2 linked regions of the Oreochromis niloticus genome follow. The protein of the gene in region 1 interacts with the protein of each later gene in a biochemical or structural test. Links are inferred from orthologs where the notes say so. Each region holds a gene or a part of one and is shown in the gene's direction. Other genes may lie near its edges.

Region 1 (7,822 bases):
GTGCACCCTCACACGTGTGACCTGTCATGATGTTTTCATAGTTTTGAAATATTTAACTTAAGTTTCTACACTTTATTCTTTATCTCATGTGTATAAATATGCTCACTGGGTGTGTATTGTTCTATTTTGTGCTGCTGCTCATCTTGTTCTGGAAAATTGTTCTGCTTCAAAAACATTTTAAATCTCCGAAGATCTACTTCCTAGTTAAGTAAAGGTTAAATAATCCTGCATGCTTCACGTTTACCTGCTGTTCTTCATCTCCTCCAGAAGCTGGGTGTAGAGTAGGCAAGAGTTGGAGGGGCTAGAAAGTGGGTTTGAGTGAAGACTGGGAACAGCTATTGAGTTTTGCTTGCCTCCTGATCCTGTTGTCAAGGAAACGATGGACAGGAAGAGAATAACCAACGCTGCCCACTGAACCCAAGACAGGCGCCTCCTGTAGGAAAAGGCCAAGTAAAAAAACAAAAAACAAATGACGCTTAATCTATTAGCTTATGATATCACCTCTCATTCTACAATCAAACACACACAACATATTTCTGAAGAACAGTTGAGTTAAAAGAGAAACTTACTTCAAAACAATTCTAAAGAGCACAGCTGTGGTCAGGATGACAAAGTTGGAGAACAACACTGCCATAGCCTGGGAACAAAACAGAACAGCAGCAGCTCAGCACATTTAAAGCATCAAATATTCGTGCAGGACATTTTGTTAATGCCAGTCTGATATGAAAAGCTCAAATCTACAAACTGGAAAATGAGATTTGGATGTTAACAAAGGGTTAAAAAATTTGCAGTCCAGGCAACCAAATTTCCCTCTAGCAGCTATCATTTAGCAAACATCTTAAATATCTTATCTGTACTAACGGGCTGCAGGTAGCTCATAACATAGAAGATGATGAGGTTGTCAAGAAAGTAAAGGAAAGCAGGGACGGCCCACTTCAGGGAGCTGAGGAAGGAAGAGCTGGAGGCACAACCCAAATCTCTGCATGATCGGCCCTCTGTAGTAACAGAAAGAAAGAGTCAACGAACATCCTTCACTCATGGAACACAGAATGAGGCCGGATGAACTTATGAACACAAATATTAGTTGTAAGACTTGTCGTGGTTTTTGTCATATTCGAGATATGATAAATACTAATACCCAGGTTATCGATCCCTTCCATTTTGTAATGGTTAATTCAACATTCCTGTTGCCACTGACCTTTAATTGGAGAGTTGACCTTATTTTGACTGGCCATCATTCACTAACCTGTCTCCTATAGACTTCATTAGTTTAGATTTTTAGTGCCTTCTATGATCTAAGCCAGCAGGTATATTGAAATCTAAAAATAATTTCAACAGGCAGCCACACCTATGTATGATAAACTAATAGGTAAGGCCCCAAAATTTTGGAGACACAGGACTTTATAATAAATAATACATAATTAATCATTCATTAATAATGGTCCTAAAAACAGATCAGCCATATTTAACTGGTATGTTTTTCTTTATTTTCATAGGCAAACTTGTAGAACTTGTAATCATACTTAATCACACACAACACTATCTTAGTTTCTTTTTAACTTCTTCCACATTCAAGCAATTTGCCCAGATATCTGAAACTGAGGGTGTTTGTGCTTGTTTACTCTGGTCCTAATCACTTGATGAGTTTGTAAACTTTTAGCTTTTCCCTGTGATTGGGTTTGTTTCCACACAGAGAAGAATTCAAGTGAACTCCATGCAAACCAAACTGCGTCACTACAAACCATGTGACAATGTGCAGTTTGCTCAGCAGCCAGATGTGTCAGGACGGGAGCAACAAAAGTAAACGCAGGAAGAAGGTGCTGTGTTCTGGGCTATTTGAGAACCCAGAGAATTTACATTTATTTCATGGCTAGCTGCTAGCTCGTACAGACCTTTGCACATCTATAGTACCTTTCGATGCTGAGATTACAAAGCATACATTGCAATGGGATGGGGGGTTTTTTATAGCTCAAACTACACCTTCACAACATAAACGAAGTGCTCCGGAGTTCATTTGGAACTGTACCGAGACCACCTCCTCCAAAGGGTCTCGGTGCTGTTCTTTTCATCCGCTCCTGAGTGCAGTCACACCTGCACAAACGAACCGCACCAAGGGGGGAAAACGAACTAGAGTTTGATTTAAACAGACAAAACACTGCAGGTGTGAAAACACCTCGAGATGTGATATGAAACCAGAACATAAGCTGATCCCAACCAGGACATACACGCAGACATCAATGTTTACCTCGGACTATGACCCTGACTGACATGACCAGACAGAAGAGCAGTTTAAGAGCCTCGGCAAGCAGATTTACAGATGCTGGGAGGAAGTCGTACTTGTTTTCTGCAAACAGAACAAAAAGTGAAGACACGTGCTAAGCAAGCTGCCAACACATCACTGTAATGCACGCCAGAAAAATTAACACTGTTTTTTAAATCTTTTTATCCAGCTGTGAAAAAAAAAAAAAAGTTGTGCATGTGTTTACTGTCAGGTAATCACCAGCATTGGCAGACATTTTCAGAAGTAGGATGCGGCTGGTCCCCAGGGTTACAAAGCCTAGCCCGAGAGCAAGAGTGTAGGCTGATGAGCGGGAGCACAGCCTGGGGCACAAGGGGCAGCACGCCATGGCTGCGACTGGAAATGGATGCAGCCAAACCTGCTGGAATACATACAAACATGCACGCACACATGTTTATCAAACTGACCCTTTACATTATGATTATTATACTGCCAAAGAATTTTTAAAACTGTTGTGTGTGTCTCTGAAAAGACTAAGATAAAGATTTTAAAAAGACAACATTGACAGGATGTAAGTGTAAACTAAAACTTGCAGAAATAATGATTAAATACGAGACAGTAAAAACAACACTGCAGGTTAATTTGGTTAAAAGAATATCACTCTGATTATGCTGTGTGAGCTGTTTAGAGATATGTGATGGCTTTTCCTTTAATGGCTCATCTGTGAAACAGCTTATGAGGAGAAACAACGCAGTATAATGCAATACAAAGATGACCGTGTCATTGAGACTAAATACCCCCTTATCTTATATTTCAATATTCGGTAAGATGACCTTTATTTTTCAAGAAACCTTCAACTGTATCAGGCAAGCTTTCAGGTCAATTCTTTAAGTAATCCAAGAGTTTTATGTGGATGTTGGTTGTTTTTGTTTATTCTCTGTCAAACTATGACTCAATAAGCACTGTTGCAACAGGGCTCACATGGATTTTCAGTCTGGTTATTGTGTCATTTGGCATACCATAACATTTTCTTCCAATTTCCCTTCCTTAAGAGTCATTAAGGAAGCCACCATTTCTGATGCAGCTTCAGTAAGCAGTATATGGATCAACTGCAACCCCAGATGCATCTCTCGGGTCCTGTGTCAGGTCTTTGCTGCATTTTTTCACCCTGATTCTAAAAAACGTGACTTTGAGATACTGTTAATCAGCTGTGGGCAGGTTTTTAAGCCTGCCACTTCTTCTTTTGTCCTCCACTTGTCTACCTTCCTTAAATGCTTGTGAAGACACACTGGACACCACACTGAGATATGCCAGGTTTTCCGCTAACACCTCTTTGGTGCAAGAAATACAATTTTGTCCCTGTCAAACAGCATTATCCTGGGCATTTGTTGTATATTCAAATAAATAAATGGGCACAAAATCTGTGTTTTTGTGAGAGGCTGCAAGTAATAAAGTGGCTAGAAATACATTTTAAAATTGGCTCTTTGCTCAGTTGTTCGTTACACAACACTGAGTTGGGCACTTGAAAAATTCACAGGTCAGTGTTAAGTGGCTTATCAAACAAACAAAAATAAATAAATAAAAGTTCCTCTGAAAATAATCAGGTACAACGACTGGACTGATAATTTTTTTTTTTTTTTTAAAGCCGCCAATAGCCAAAAATGAGGGAAACCTCAATATTTTAGCACAGTACTGTATATCCACAATTTCACCAAGACAAACAAAAAAAAAAAAACCAAAAAAAAAAAAACACCACTCCCTGTTAAGTGAAATAAGTATTGGTGCTGGGGGGGTTCTGTTCACTAATTTAACAAAAAAATAATAATAATGATGATGATTACACCAGATAACTATAATAACTATTGAATGATGTTTTAAAAGTAGTCTTGCTTTAATTTTAAGCTTATTTGATACAGTACTTCGTCTCCGACTCACAAGAGGAAATACGTGTTTTTGTACTCTTCCAATCTACTGCGTTTGGAGAAAAACGCGACTTACATTACCTTGACCTTGGCGTCTGAGAACCTACACAGACCTAAATACACAGAATTTAAACACCGACACTTTGCTGAAATACGTAGTTATATTTCACTTTTACAAAGACTTACTGACTTAAAAACTAACAAAACAATCTAACGGCAAAAATAGTCGACAGTTTTTAAATCAACTTCCAGCTTTTGAGATAATTTAAACTCCATTGCCATGTCCAATAATACTCATAAAACTTAAAAATCACCCGAAAATTGTCGGCACGGTAAGTTAGACTGTTCAAACACACAAAATTCAACACACAGCTCTAAGCACAGAGGTAGCCTTGCATCACTAGCCTTTAAATCGTCACCTTTGTGCCAATAAACACCGATACAACACGCGTGTTCTTTTAAATATTCGGAAATTATTTTTTGAGGCCACTGTCCATAACATGAGAAAACAGGGCAATGTTATAAATACCTGCCTGCTAGTCTTCTTTAGTACAAAACATAACCGAGGGATTCCATCTCGTCAACACTGGCGCTTCCTGGTTGGTCTGCGCATGCGTTAAGACACAGGTTACGACGTCATCCCGTTGTATTTATGTTCACCGGACAAGAAAATAAAGTACAATCGAGACAAGGGGAAATAAGAGACAAGAGAAAAATGATACACGAATAAAAGCGTGAGTATGAGAATAAATTTTTTTTTGTCTTTGTTTGATGTAAATGTGAGACTTTAAGTCACACCTTACTTAAAAATAATAATAAACTGGTAAACACTGACAAATAAGTGAATGTCCAGATATGAGTTTAGGCTACATTTAACAGTATTTCAACTGCGTGAAATTGGGGTAAACCAAAATGACGCGTGCCCACACCTATTACACATACGTGATTTTCTGGGACATTCTTAGGTCAGAGAAATTTACGATCAGATTTCCAACACTCATTCCCACTGAAAATTTTTAGGGATGTTTGGGAATCAGCACCCTTCGGGAAGTAACGCACATGTAGTTCCAGTTGCAAAAGGGAAAAAAAAATATGCAGAGGCGCAGTTCATTGCCCTAGGACATAATGTTTGAACTAGCAAGTGTGGGTATGTGTACGTGTGTCAGTGGCAGATAAAGCACACAGCAGACTCTCTGTCAGCTCCCACGTTCTTGACTTGTAGAAGAGAGCACACTCGCCTGGAGGACTGATCGTAAGTATGAGGCTCCGTGTCCGGGCTGGAGCTCGCTGGCTCCTACCTGTCCTGGTTCTTTTGACTGCCCACCAGGTCAAAGCAAACCAGCCTCAGCCTAAGGAGAGACATTACTACATTGCTGCTGTGGAGATAGATTGGAAATACTCTGGCAACGACACAGACGGGTAGGACAGCACTTCAAAATTTGATACAGAGTGACTGGAATTCTTTTTGGTTTGGGGTTTTTTTTGTGTCTGGTAACATTATTATTGTATTTTTAAAACTCCATTTTATTATGTAATCAGTAGTCACACCTTGTTAAATCAGTAAATTTCACATCTTAGAGTCTATGCATCATTGTGTATGTAATGTGGGGATTTTCTTATGTGTGCCCAATGAGTAATGTTTTGTGTTTTTCCACCCTGCCTTAGGTCTGGTCCCACCTATAAGAAAGTGGTCTTTCGGGAATATGAGAAAGGCTTCAGACAGGCTAAGACTCATCCATCATGGTTAGGTAAATGATGTGGTTTACATGAACACACCGTATGTCTGGTTTAAAATTTTAAGTAACACTTGCCCTGTCTGCACATTAACTAACCTGTGAGATAGAGGGGTGTATTTACCAATAACGTTCCCAGAAAGCAGTCACCATGTACATGCATGTATATTAGAGACTTAATGAATCAGTGTTGAGGAGCTTTTAAGGTGCCCCGGTGTCGCGCAGTGGGAAAAAAACACAGACAGACAGTCGCTATCAAATGCACTCTTTATATCTTCAGGACACATAAGGTTATTATTAATTTAATGTATCACTCCAAGTGCATATTAATGGATAAGCAGCTACTACTTTTGCTAATTTTTCTCTGAAAGAACTGAATTAAAAGGTGAATTCCTTCAGTTTTTACAAACACCAAAAAGACATCAGCATGGTGAGGTAGTGTTTTTTCATGTTTTTTGGACTTTCTCCCTTCCACCTCTTATGTGGTGCCAAATCATATCTTCTTAGCAGGATGGTGAAATAACAGTCACAGAATAATTCCTTTCCCAGAAAGCAAGAGGGAAAAATATAAAGCTGTATTTACAAAAAAGAAGGTTACTTTCATTTTATTGCAAATGTTTACGGTTAAGTTGCTGTGCAAATCAACAGTTAAAGAGAAAGAGTGATGAGTCAGTCTGCGTTTATCCAAGTCTGTCCCTGTGATGAACTGAAGCCTTTGAAATGACATGATTCCACATAAATAAACTTCTCTGCAGGTCTCCTTGGTCCCACACTGAGGGCAGAAGAAGGGGAGACGATTGTTGTAACTTTCAGAAACATGGCCACCAGCCCATATAGCATCAGCCCACACGGTGTGGCTTATGGGAAACAGTCTGAGGGTGAGTGCGTATTAACCCAGCTGCTAACAGATGAATGCAAAAGATGCTGTTATCCTTAAAACAACAGTACCACTACTCCATAACATAGTCTGCCTCTTAATGTTTCTGTGAGTGCTTGTGATGTTTCTCATTGTAATAATTACACAACATTAGCCAATACAACAAACAAATCTGTTTGTCTTCTTCTAAAATATTAACCAGGCAGGCAGATTATCAAAGCAGACAGTTCTGAAGTCCAACAGGAAGAACTGCTAAGCCTTAGGAAATCCCTCTCTGAGACTTACGGGAATTAAAGTGAACTTAGGAAATTGAGGCAAAGTGTTCCTTAATTTGCTCTTAATACAAAAGTCAGAGTACACAGGAAACACAAAAATTAAAGAACACCATGCAGGAGAGTCTGCATTATTTTTGGAAACTGTTCGAAGCTGGTTATAAAAAAAGCTCAAAATCTTCTCAGACTTCCACACACCAGCGTTATAGTTTTGTATCTTCTAATTAGTTTTCAAGTTTCAGTTAGTGTCCACAGTTAAGTTTAGCCTGTGTTTTAAAGTGTTTAGTTTTAGCTTAGTTTTTATTAGTTTCACTGTTAGTTTTAGCCTTTATTGTTCATTATTGTATGGAGGGCATATATCAGAGGCAAAATCAGTACACTTATTACAATAAGGTGTCATGTTTCGCTGTGTGGCAGGCAGGATGTAGGACCCAAATGCAGGACTCATGGACAACGAAAGAGCGAACTAAAGGAGGCAGCTTTATTCAGGGTGTAAAAACTAACATTAAGTACAAAACTAAACTAGAAACTGGAAACTAGAAACTTCAACTAGAACACAAGAAAACGAACCAGGAAGAGTAAACTCGGAAACAGCTAGCAACACGGAGGAAAACACACAGCATTGTGAGGGTACAATGCAACAACAAGCAGGGGAAGACTGAGGAGTAAAATACACACGTAGGAAACGAGAGGATAGGGAAAAAGGTGGAAACACAGCTGGGACTAATCAGATGTAAAAGCTCAGAACACTGAACACAAGACAGGGACTATCAAAATAA
Region 2 (7,882 bases), on another chromosome or scaffold:
TTACCAGTGATACTTTCAATCACGACAATTTGCCACAAAGCAGAAAGAGCTAACAAGAAAAGAAGCTGGATGGGACAGCTTTACGCAATGCCACGCATCTCAATGACAGTCATAACAATCCAGTTTGTTATTACCTCAACAGTTCCATCTCTGATGTTGTTCCTGTTCCCACCAGGTGAGGGAGCTCTTTGCAGCATTCCCATAGAGAACATTCTGGCTGTAGAGCGGCTGGAGGAGGAGTCTTTCAAAATGAAAAATGTAAGGACCCCCCTGTGAGCCCCTGTGAAATATTTGAGGGTTTGAGCATGTGGGCCCAAATCTCTCCTACAAGTGTTTACTTTCTTAACTAACTTGCACTCCTTTCTCCCCACACTCCTCCTCCTTCAGATGTTCCAGGTCATTCAGCCAGAGCGGGCGCTCTACATCCAGGCCAACAACTGCGTAGAGGCGCGCGACTGGATCGACATCCTGACCAAAGTCAGCCAGTGCAACCGCAAACGCCTGAGCACCTACCACCCTTCAGCCTACCTCAACGGCCACTGGCTATGCTGCAAGCTCTCAGCAGACACGGCTCCCGGGTGTACGCCCTGCACCGGGTACATAAAGTTGCTAACATCTGCACAGCTTCACATTCCTGTGCTTTGTTTCCGCTCTCTCTCATTCCATGCACGCTTCGTTTTTTTCAGCGGCCTCCCGGCAAACATCCAGCTGGATGTAGATGGTGACAGAGAGACCGAGAGAATTTACTCCCTGTTCAGCACATACATGACCAAACTGATCAAGATGCAAGGTTAGACGCCAAGCGCATGTTTTTTTTTTTCTTTTCAAACTTCCCACATGTATTTTTTTCACATTTCCGTCTCTCATTCCGTTTCCCGCTGCAGAGGCCTGCGGCAGTAAGTCGGTATATGACGGCCCCGAGCAGGAGGAGTACTCCACCTTCGTCATAGACGACCCCCAGGAGACCTACAAAACCCTGAAGCAGATCATTTCAGCCGTGCAGACGCTGGAACAGCAGCACACCAAGTACAAACGCGACAAGTTCAAGAAGACAAAGATAGGCAGCCAGTACGTCCACTGCTTGTGTTGTATTCGAAGGTTAAGTTATAGATGAATGCATTTATTGTATCTATAACAAAGTGGAGGCGCTAGTTCAGAACACTGCAGTCACATTTTTTTCCCTTTTCTTTGTCCTCAGGGAGCATCCGATTGGAGACAAGAGTTTCCAGTGCTACATCCGCCAGCAGTCTGAGAGCTCCACCTACTCCATCTAGCCACAGCCCTGGATCCGGTTTCTGTGATGCTCAAAACCAGCATATTTTTCTCTACTGCAGAAAAATCCACCGAAATTGAGCTCTGTGTCTGGTATTGAGTTTTAAAGCATTTCCCGTGTCTAAAATAAGCAAATAAAATAACTTCCTTAAGACGCTTGTGGAAGTAAAGCAACCTTTCACCCCGATCTGATCTAGTTTTGAGAAAATGACAACTTTACGACTCATTGCCAAACTCCAAGAGCCGCGTATATGGACCTACCTGCAGTTTCTCAAAGTGCATCGCTCCACATTTGGACAAACAGACCTCACTTTTAGAAGAGAGAGGGAGGAGAAAAAAGAGGAGCACTTGTGGAGGAAAGGAGGGATATGAGTGAAGAGGGAACCGTCTCCTTTCCGCGACGTGACGAGAGAACAAAGGTTTTCACTGGACAGTTCTGACAGTGACCAGCACGCACTTTAATCGCCTCCAAATCTTCGGACGAACAAGCCTCACAGCACACTTTTCAGAAAGCGACTTTTACCTCTTTGATTTGTGTGCGGTTATTTTAAATGTTGTTGAAATTGTTACCTTTCATTTGCCGTCTGACGGACGAAGCTCCAGACGAGAAGGAAGGACTGCAGCTTATCCCCTCTGCGGGTGATGTTATACCTGTGTACCTTTCACTTTCAAGCCTCTCCCCCCAGCGTCTTCGGGATACAAGTTCAGGAAGAGCCACAAAAAAAAAAGAAAAAAGGGATCATCGGGCCCATTTGCAGCCCAAGCGACTTCATTTAAGCTACCAAAAATCTCTCCACGTACAATTTTAGCCCACATTTTTAAACCTTTTCAAAAGAGGTTTCCACGTTTTGTTTTTTAAGCTTTGATCTGTTTTGGTTGGTCGTCATGCCCCAATGAAACCAGTACCCAGGTTGGCATTTTTTTTCCCCCCTGCCCGCACAGGTTATGCTGTAATCATGGGTAAATTACATCATTCAAAACCAGTTTCTTTAGATGCAGAAAATGTGCATGTGGCAGAACAAGTCCTTTTTCAGGTACAGCCGTACAGTCTAGTGGACTACGTTATACTGATACAAACACAAGGGAGACAGAATATTAGAGAACTCTGAGTACAGTGTAGTCCAGTACAAAACTGGCTTTAATAATTACAGCAGAGCAGCTGTATGGATTTCATAAGACACAATTTTCATCACTCACTGTCCATTTATGGTGGATAAGTATAATTAATGTCAGAAAAGCAGCTTTAATAATGAAACAGAAAGACACTTTTCCCCGACACCCAGCGCTAGGCTGAGACCACACAGCTTGGCGTTAGCTCAGAGGCCTGTTTCACTCCTGTGTAAGCAGGAAAATAAGTAAAAGCCTGTCTACCCCCTCCAGCTATCACAAATGAGATCATTAACAGGGATGTTTTATTTTCAGATACACTTCTAATTATTACACAAACTAACATTTTAACCTGTCTTAGATTGTAATTGTGAAATGGATAGAGTGTGACTGATTGTGTTGCCCCGCTGGTTACCTAATAACAATGTGGTTCTTTTGTTTCTGTGAGTTAGCCTCCCACTCCCTCCGTACCTTGTCGTTTGAACTCTTATTTATATGCATTCCACTGAAAAGCTACCTGCTGTGAAGCGCCTCACGATCTATTGAAGGTACAGGATTTATTGTTGCTAGCCAACTGTGTTGTGTTGTCCCACGCTTTCGCAAAGGCGGCCGCATTTTTTTGTCTTTCACTCCGACAGTGCATGTGAAGTGTAGACAGCAGACTCTGCAAGCGACTACAAACCACGACTTTTGTATTTTCCGAATCCAAGTATGTGCTTATGTAGCCTCGCGGGTGTTCGCCCCCATGGTCACAGGATCCCAAACAGTGCCAGTTATCACTTTTCTAAAGTTCATTTTTGAAATATATATATAAATATATTAAAAAAAAAAACAACTGTACTGTTTGTAAAACAGCTGAACAACTAATCCAATTATATGTTTTTGTTTTTTGGGTGGGTCAAATAAGGAAGGTTCTCAACAATTTGACTCTGTTTTCTATCTTGTCATACGGAAATTTTGCTGTGTATCTGAGCTGGATGAGGTGTGTGTGTGTCTGTGTCTGTTATGTGGGTGTGTGCTTATTTTTGTCAGTGTGGACACATGTGACTGACGTGATGGGTTGTGTTGCCAATTGATCAAACAGTGTTACAGGTCAGGAAAGGCAGATCACTGCCTGTAATTATACTGAAGACACTGTTACTTCACTCTTGGCCTGACTTAGCGTATCCCTTCTTTCCTCTCATATACAATCACTGTTTCTTTTCAAGAAGATATTGCCAATCTATTCTCCCCAGATGTCTTATGAACAGTAAAAATATTAAGAGAGCAGCCTGGGTTTAACCTCTTTCAGGTTTTCCTCCCCCTACAGGTTACTAACTCTCCTCAGGTTTATGAAACTCATATTTATTATAACTTTCATTCAAACCTTCCCAGAATTCCCAGCGAAGTTGGTGTGGGTATGACTCCTCCAACCCCGATACCCATAAAAGGAATGAATTATGCAATAACGGTGTTTCAGCATGCAATAATATTAACAAGCCCTCGATAAGCCTGTCAAGTGATCACAAATTAACAATGCGCATCTGCTGATGTTTTGCAGTCAGATGCCTCTTCAGATAAACACATATTATAAAAGGGAGAACAGTGTATTTTGTACAAATATTTTAAAAGTATTAAAATAAGCCTGTTATTTGTGTACATAAAACAATTGAATGAATGGTGAAAATGTGATGTGTTTTTTTTCCCGAGTAACCAAATGAAACAATTATTAATGCAAATCTGGTGTCTGTGTCATTTATTACATATCAGTAATGTCTACTGTACAAACTCACATTAGCAGATTTATATTGTTTTGTTAGAATTGCCCTGCCTAAGTATGCCAAGCTTGTAGCATCATACTGATAAAGACGTTATTATTATCATTATTATTAGCACTCAGAGCGCATTACACTCAAAAAAGGCCCACCTTAAACACGAAGTAGGAACCTTTCACACGATACCATAACAAATAATTTAAATGTTACACATAAAATTATAAAGTGAGGTAAGTGGCAATGAAGTAATGTATGTGAAACCTAATATACATTTTTTTAATCTACTACATATTCTAATCTACACAAATTAAATGTGACAAAAAATAAATACATAACGACGTTTACACGATGATGATTATGATTATTATTACTATTATAACTGCTGCTATACTATATAGTGAAATAATACAATAAGTAAAAAAACATTAAAAGTAGTTTAGCAGTGCCATCTTTCCTTGGATGCTTAGCAACGGGCAGACATTTGCGCCATTTTTTTCTCGTCTTTTTTTGGTGGTGGCATCTGTGTGCGTGTCTGTGTGTGTGGGGGGGGCGTATAATGATATTTTGGACTTTAAGAATAATTAAAAGTATTATTACTATTCCTGATACTAGAGCACAGAGTTTTGTGGTTATTTACCTACACAGTGTGTCTCGGGCCTCCTTTAGTAAACCTATTTTCTGCATGAGTTCAGCCTGAGCCGAGCCGCACGCGCACGCTCGGTTAAAAAAAATAACGGCAGAGAGCGCGTGAGTGTGCGTGCAGCGTTCCCTAGCTGCCTCCCCTCTCCTCACACTCCACACACACACACACACAACCCCTCCGTGTCCCGCTCCGCTGGCAGCTGCCTGTGCTCCCCCCATCTCACCCGACGAAAAACACTTTCGGGAAGAATAAAGTTTTTTCCCCTCACGGACCTGCCGCTCAGCCAGTCTCTACTCGCAGCCAAACCGTGGCCTAGCAGGAGGAACGGCTCGACTATGTGGAGAAAGAAGCGGGCTCTTGGGGAACCCCTGGCTTGTCTCGTGTTACTGGTGACGCTGGTCGATGCTTATCGGTGTAAGTACGCTTGAGGTTTTGCGGTTTTACGTGTTGAGCTGGACTGTAGTGTTTAGTCAGAGTGTCCCAGTTTGAAGAGAGCAGTTCACAGACTGGATGAGACCAGCTGGGAACCGTTTCAGGACTTCAATATTTTTTTAATCCCTTTTAGCATATGTGAGGGTCACATGGCTCCGTTGTTCACCATGAAACAATGCTTGGAAAACAACGTGAAGTGCTTGTTACAGCAACTAGGGGTCATTTCTGAGAAATGGCGGTTTCGCAATAACCCTCCCTACCTCTTTTCGGGCCAATTCATCTAAAAGTAATTAAGCTGCCCTGTTCATCCATTTAGACAGAAGCCTCGGGAGAGCTGTCATGACAGAGGAGGCTTTAATTCCTACGGGCATCAGTCATTTCTTTTTATTGTAATGTTGTTACAGGTGTTTGTTAACCAGCAATTGGTTTGTTGGACTCAAAACAGAGCTGACAGTTAAAAGATGTGCTACGTGCATGCGGTGTATACATAAGTGTTTGTGTCTCCCATAGTCCTGAGCCAGAGCACAGCCTCGCAGTTCCTGAGCAGGCACAGGAGGGCCAACTCACTGTTTGAGGAGAGCAAGAAGGGCAACCTGGAAAGGGAGTGCATCGAGGAGCTGTGCAACAAGGAGGAGGCCAGGGAGATCTTTGAGAACCAACTGGAGACGGTGAGAGCTGACAGGGAAAGCCAGGCCCAACTGGTCAAACTGAAGTGACTAGATGGGAGTGAAGAAGAAGATGAAATAAGCAGCAAAAGTTGTAACAGTGGATTGGATTTTTGGCTGTTATCCAGCATGTGTTACTAATGACATTATGACGGCACAGAGCTTTAATTAACGTGATTAGTAACACAGTTAATCGGTGGTTAGGGAGCTCCAAGTCGTTTAAGATAAGAAATAAGATAAACCTTTATTAGTCCCACACATGGGAAATTTTTTGGTCACGGCAGAAAGTACAAGTTTAAGAGCAGTAAAAGTTAAGAAAAACTCAATAGAATAGGAGAAGATAAAATAGAATAACATACTATACAACAAGAACAAGATACTATATACAATAGAATAAAGTACCAACAAAATAGAATAAAATACTGTACAAAATAGAAAAAATGCTCTGTTATAGTAGGAAAAAACAAATATCTGTACTGCAAGTATTTACTGCTTCTTCATCTTCAGCTACTTTTAGGGGGCACCACAGAGGATCATGTACCTCTATCTCACCCTGTCCCTAGCATCCTCCCCTGTCACATCAACCCTCCTTCACTACATCCATAAATCCTCTCTGTGTTTTTAATTCTGCCCTGCAGCTCCCTAGTCATTATTTTTTTGCCAAAATATCCACCATACCTTCTCTGATCATGTCCAAACCATCTCAGCCTTATCTCTCGCTCTGACTTTGTCTCTAAATGTCTCCATCTCATCTGTTTGGGCTCTTGCTGTAAAGTAGTAAAAGCTAAAGATGCAGCTGCATTTTCTCCTTTCTGCCCTTATCAGTAAATACCAAACTGTCAGCAGCCTTTTTTTTCTTTTTTTTGCAGGAATACTTTTACCCTAAATATGTTGGTAAGTCTGCTAAATGAGTCACATTTCTTAATATTTTTGCACTGTCTATTTTGTCTATTTTTGCACTGTCTCAAATAAACGCTAATTTTTTTCGGCAGCGTGTCTGGGTTCGCACCGTGTCGGCATAAATAACCAGCACTCAAATGCCGGCATCCCCTCTAACCTTCGCACCTGTGTGCAAGGTGAGCTTAAACCTCGAACTAAGCTTTTCATATGCCTGTTACACTTCTCTGTAGCTGTCAAATGCTGTGTTTCCAAAACCAGAGATCAGTAATCAGTGCACGCCGTTTCCATGCTACAAGGAGGGTACAGAGCGCTGCGCGGACGGCATGGCCGCCTTCACGTGTGTGTGCAAGCAGGGCTGGAAGGGGCCACGCTGTGAGGAAGGTGAGTTCTCATTTAGTCTTTTGGCATTTTAAACATTTTTCGTCATATCTTACTAAAAATACATCCAGCGATCATTTATTTATATTTATTTATTTATATGGGACCTGCTGCTGACTTATTTTTGTGTGGCGTATCGACTGGGTAGACGTCGATGAGTGTTCGGATCCTGAACTTCATGCCGGATGTAATCAAATATGTCAGAATATCCCAGGTAGCTTCCACTGCATGTGTGAAGAAGGCTACATACTCACCCACAACATCAACTGCATGGGTAAGACTCTACTGGATGGTCATTTTAATAATAATTAGGCTTAACTGATTTTCCTTATATACAGTTGTTTGTGTCACGTGTGTGCCAGCTCTGTTTTTTACGGTTTTACACGGCAGCTGAGCACACGGGATATAATTCTAATTACTTTCTTTTTTATTTATTCATATAGATGCATTGCAAAACAAATTAAAAAAAAAAGATCAGCTCCCCCAGCTGTTGCCCTCTGGGGCCGCATCACTTGTTTTTTTCAAAGCTGACCTGAGGTGACTCCTTATGTAAGAGAAGGGGAAAGCTTTTAACATCTGAAAAGATGGTTCATCCTGATTGTTGTAAACACACCAGCAGGCTCGTAGCTCAGAGCTGTAAAAACATGCTTAAACTGTCCGTGCTTATCGTTGCCTGATTTCTCTGCATCTTGTTTTGCTGTGTGTGGGCAAACCAGTCACTGTTTGTCTTT

What was found. The genes of interacting proteins can lie anywhere in the genome.
Region 2: the proteins of f5 (region 1) and pros1 form a complex in vitro, tested with the Homo sapiens proteins (2 studies listed by BioGRID). The link is inferred for Oreochromis niloticus from reciprocal best matches to the Homo sapiens genes F5 and PROS1.

What each region holds. Positions count from the first base shown.
Region 1 is NC_031987.2:31,364,997-31,372,818, forward strand, and holds the start of f5 (coagulation factor V), read left to right. Parts: upstream 1-4,778; 5' UTR 4,779-4,895; intron 4,896-5,322; exon of another isoform or gene 5,323-5,383; 5' UTR 5,384-5,419; coding exon 5,420-5,580; intron 5,581-5,826; coding exon 5,827-5,909; intron 5,910-6,649; coding exon 6,650-6,772; intron 6,773-7,822. Other genes in the region: UDP-sugar transporter protein SLC35A5, read right to left, coding at 245-433, 570-637, 862-995, 2,246-2,344, 2,501-2,627. UniProt on the Homo sapiens protein: Central regulator of hemostasis. It serves as a critical cofactor for the prothrombinase activity of factor Xa that results in the activation of prothrombin to thrombin.
Region 2 is NC_031965.2:16,493,289-16,501,170, reverse strand, and holds the start of pros1 (vitamin K-dependent protein S), read left to right. Parts: upstream 1-4,850; 5' UTR 4,851-5,111; coding exon 5,112-5,190; intron 5,191-5,718; coding exon 5,719-5,876; intron 5,877-6,742; coding exon 6,743-6,767; intron 6,768-6,865; coding exon 6,866-6,949; intron 6,950-7,031; coding exon 7,032-7,154; intron 7,155-7,299; coding exon 7,300-7,425; intron 7,426-7,882. Other genes in the region: rasa3 (ras GTPase-activating protein 3), read left to right, coding at 143-258, 388-596, 687-790, 885-1,068, 1,199-1,274. UniProt on the Homo sapiens protein: Anticoagulant plasma protein; it is a cofactor to activated protein C in the degradation of coagulation factors Va and VIIIa. It helps to prevent coagulation and stimulating fibrinolysis.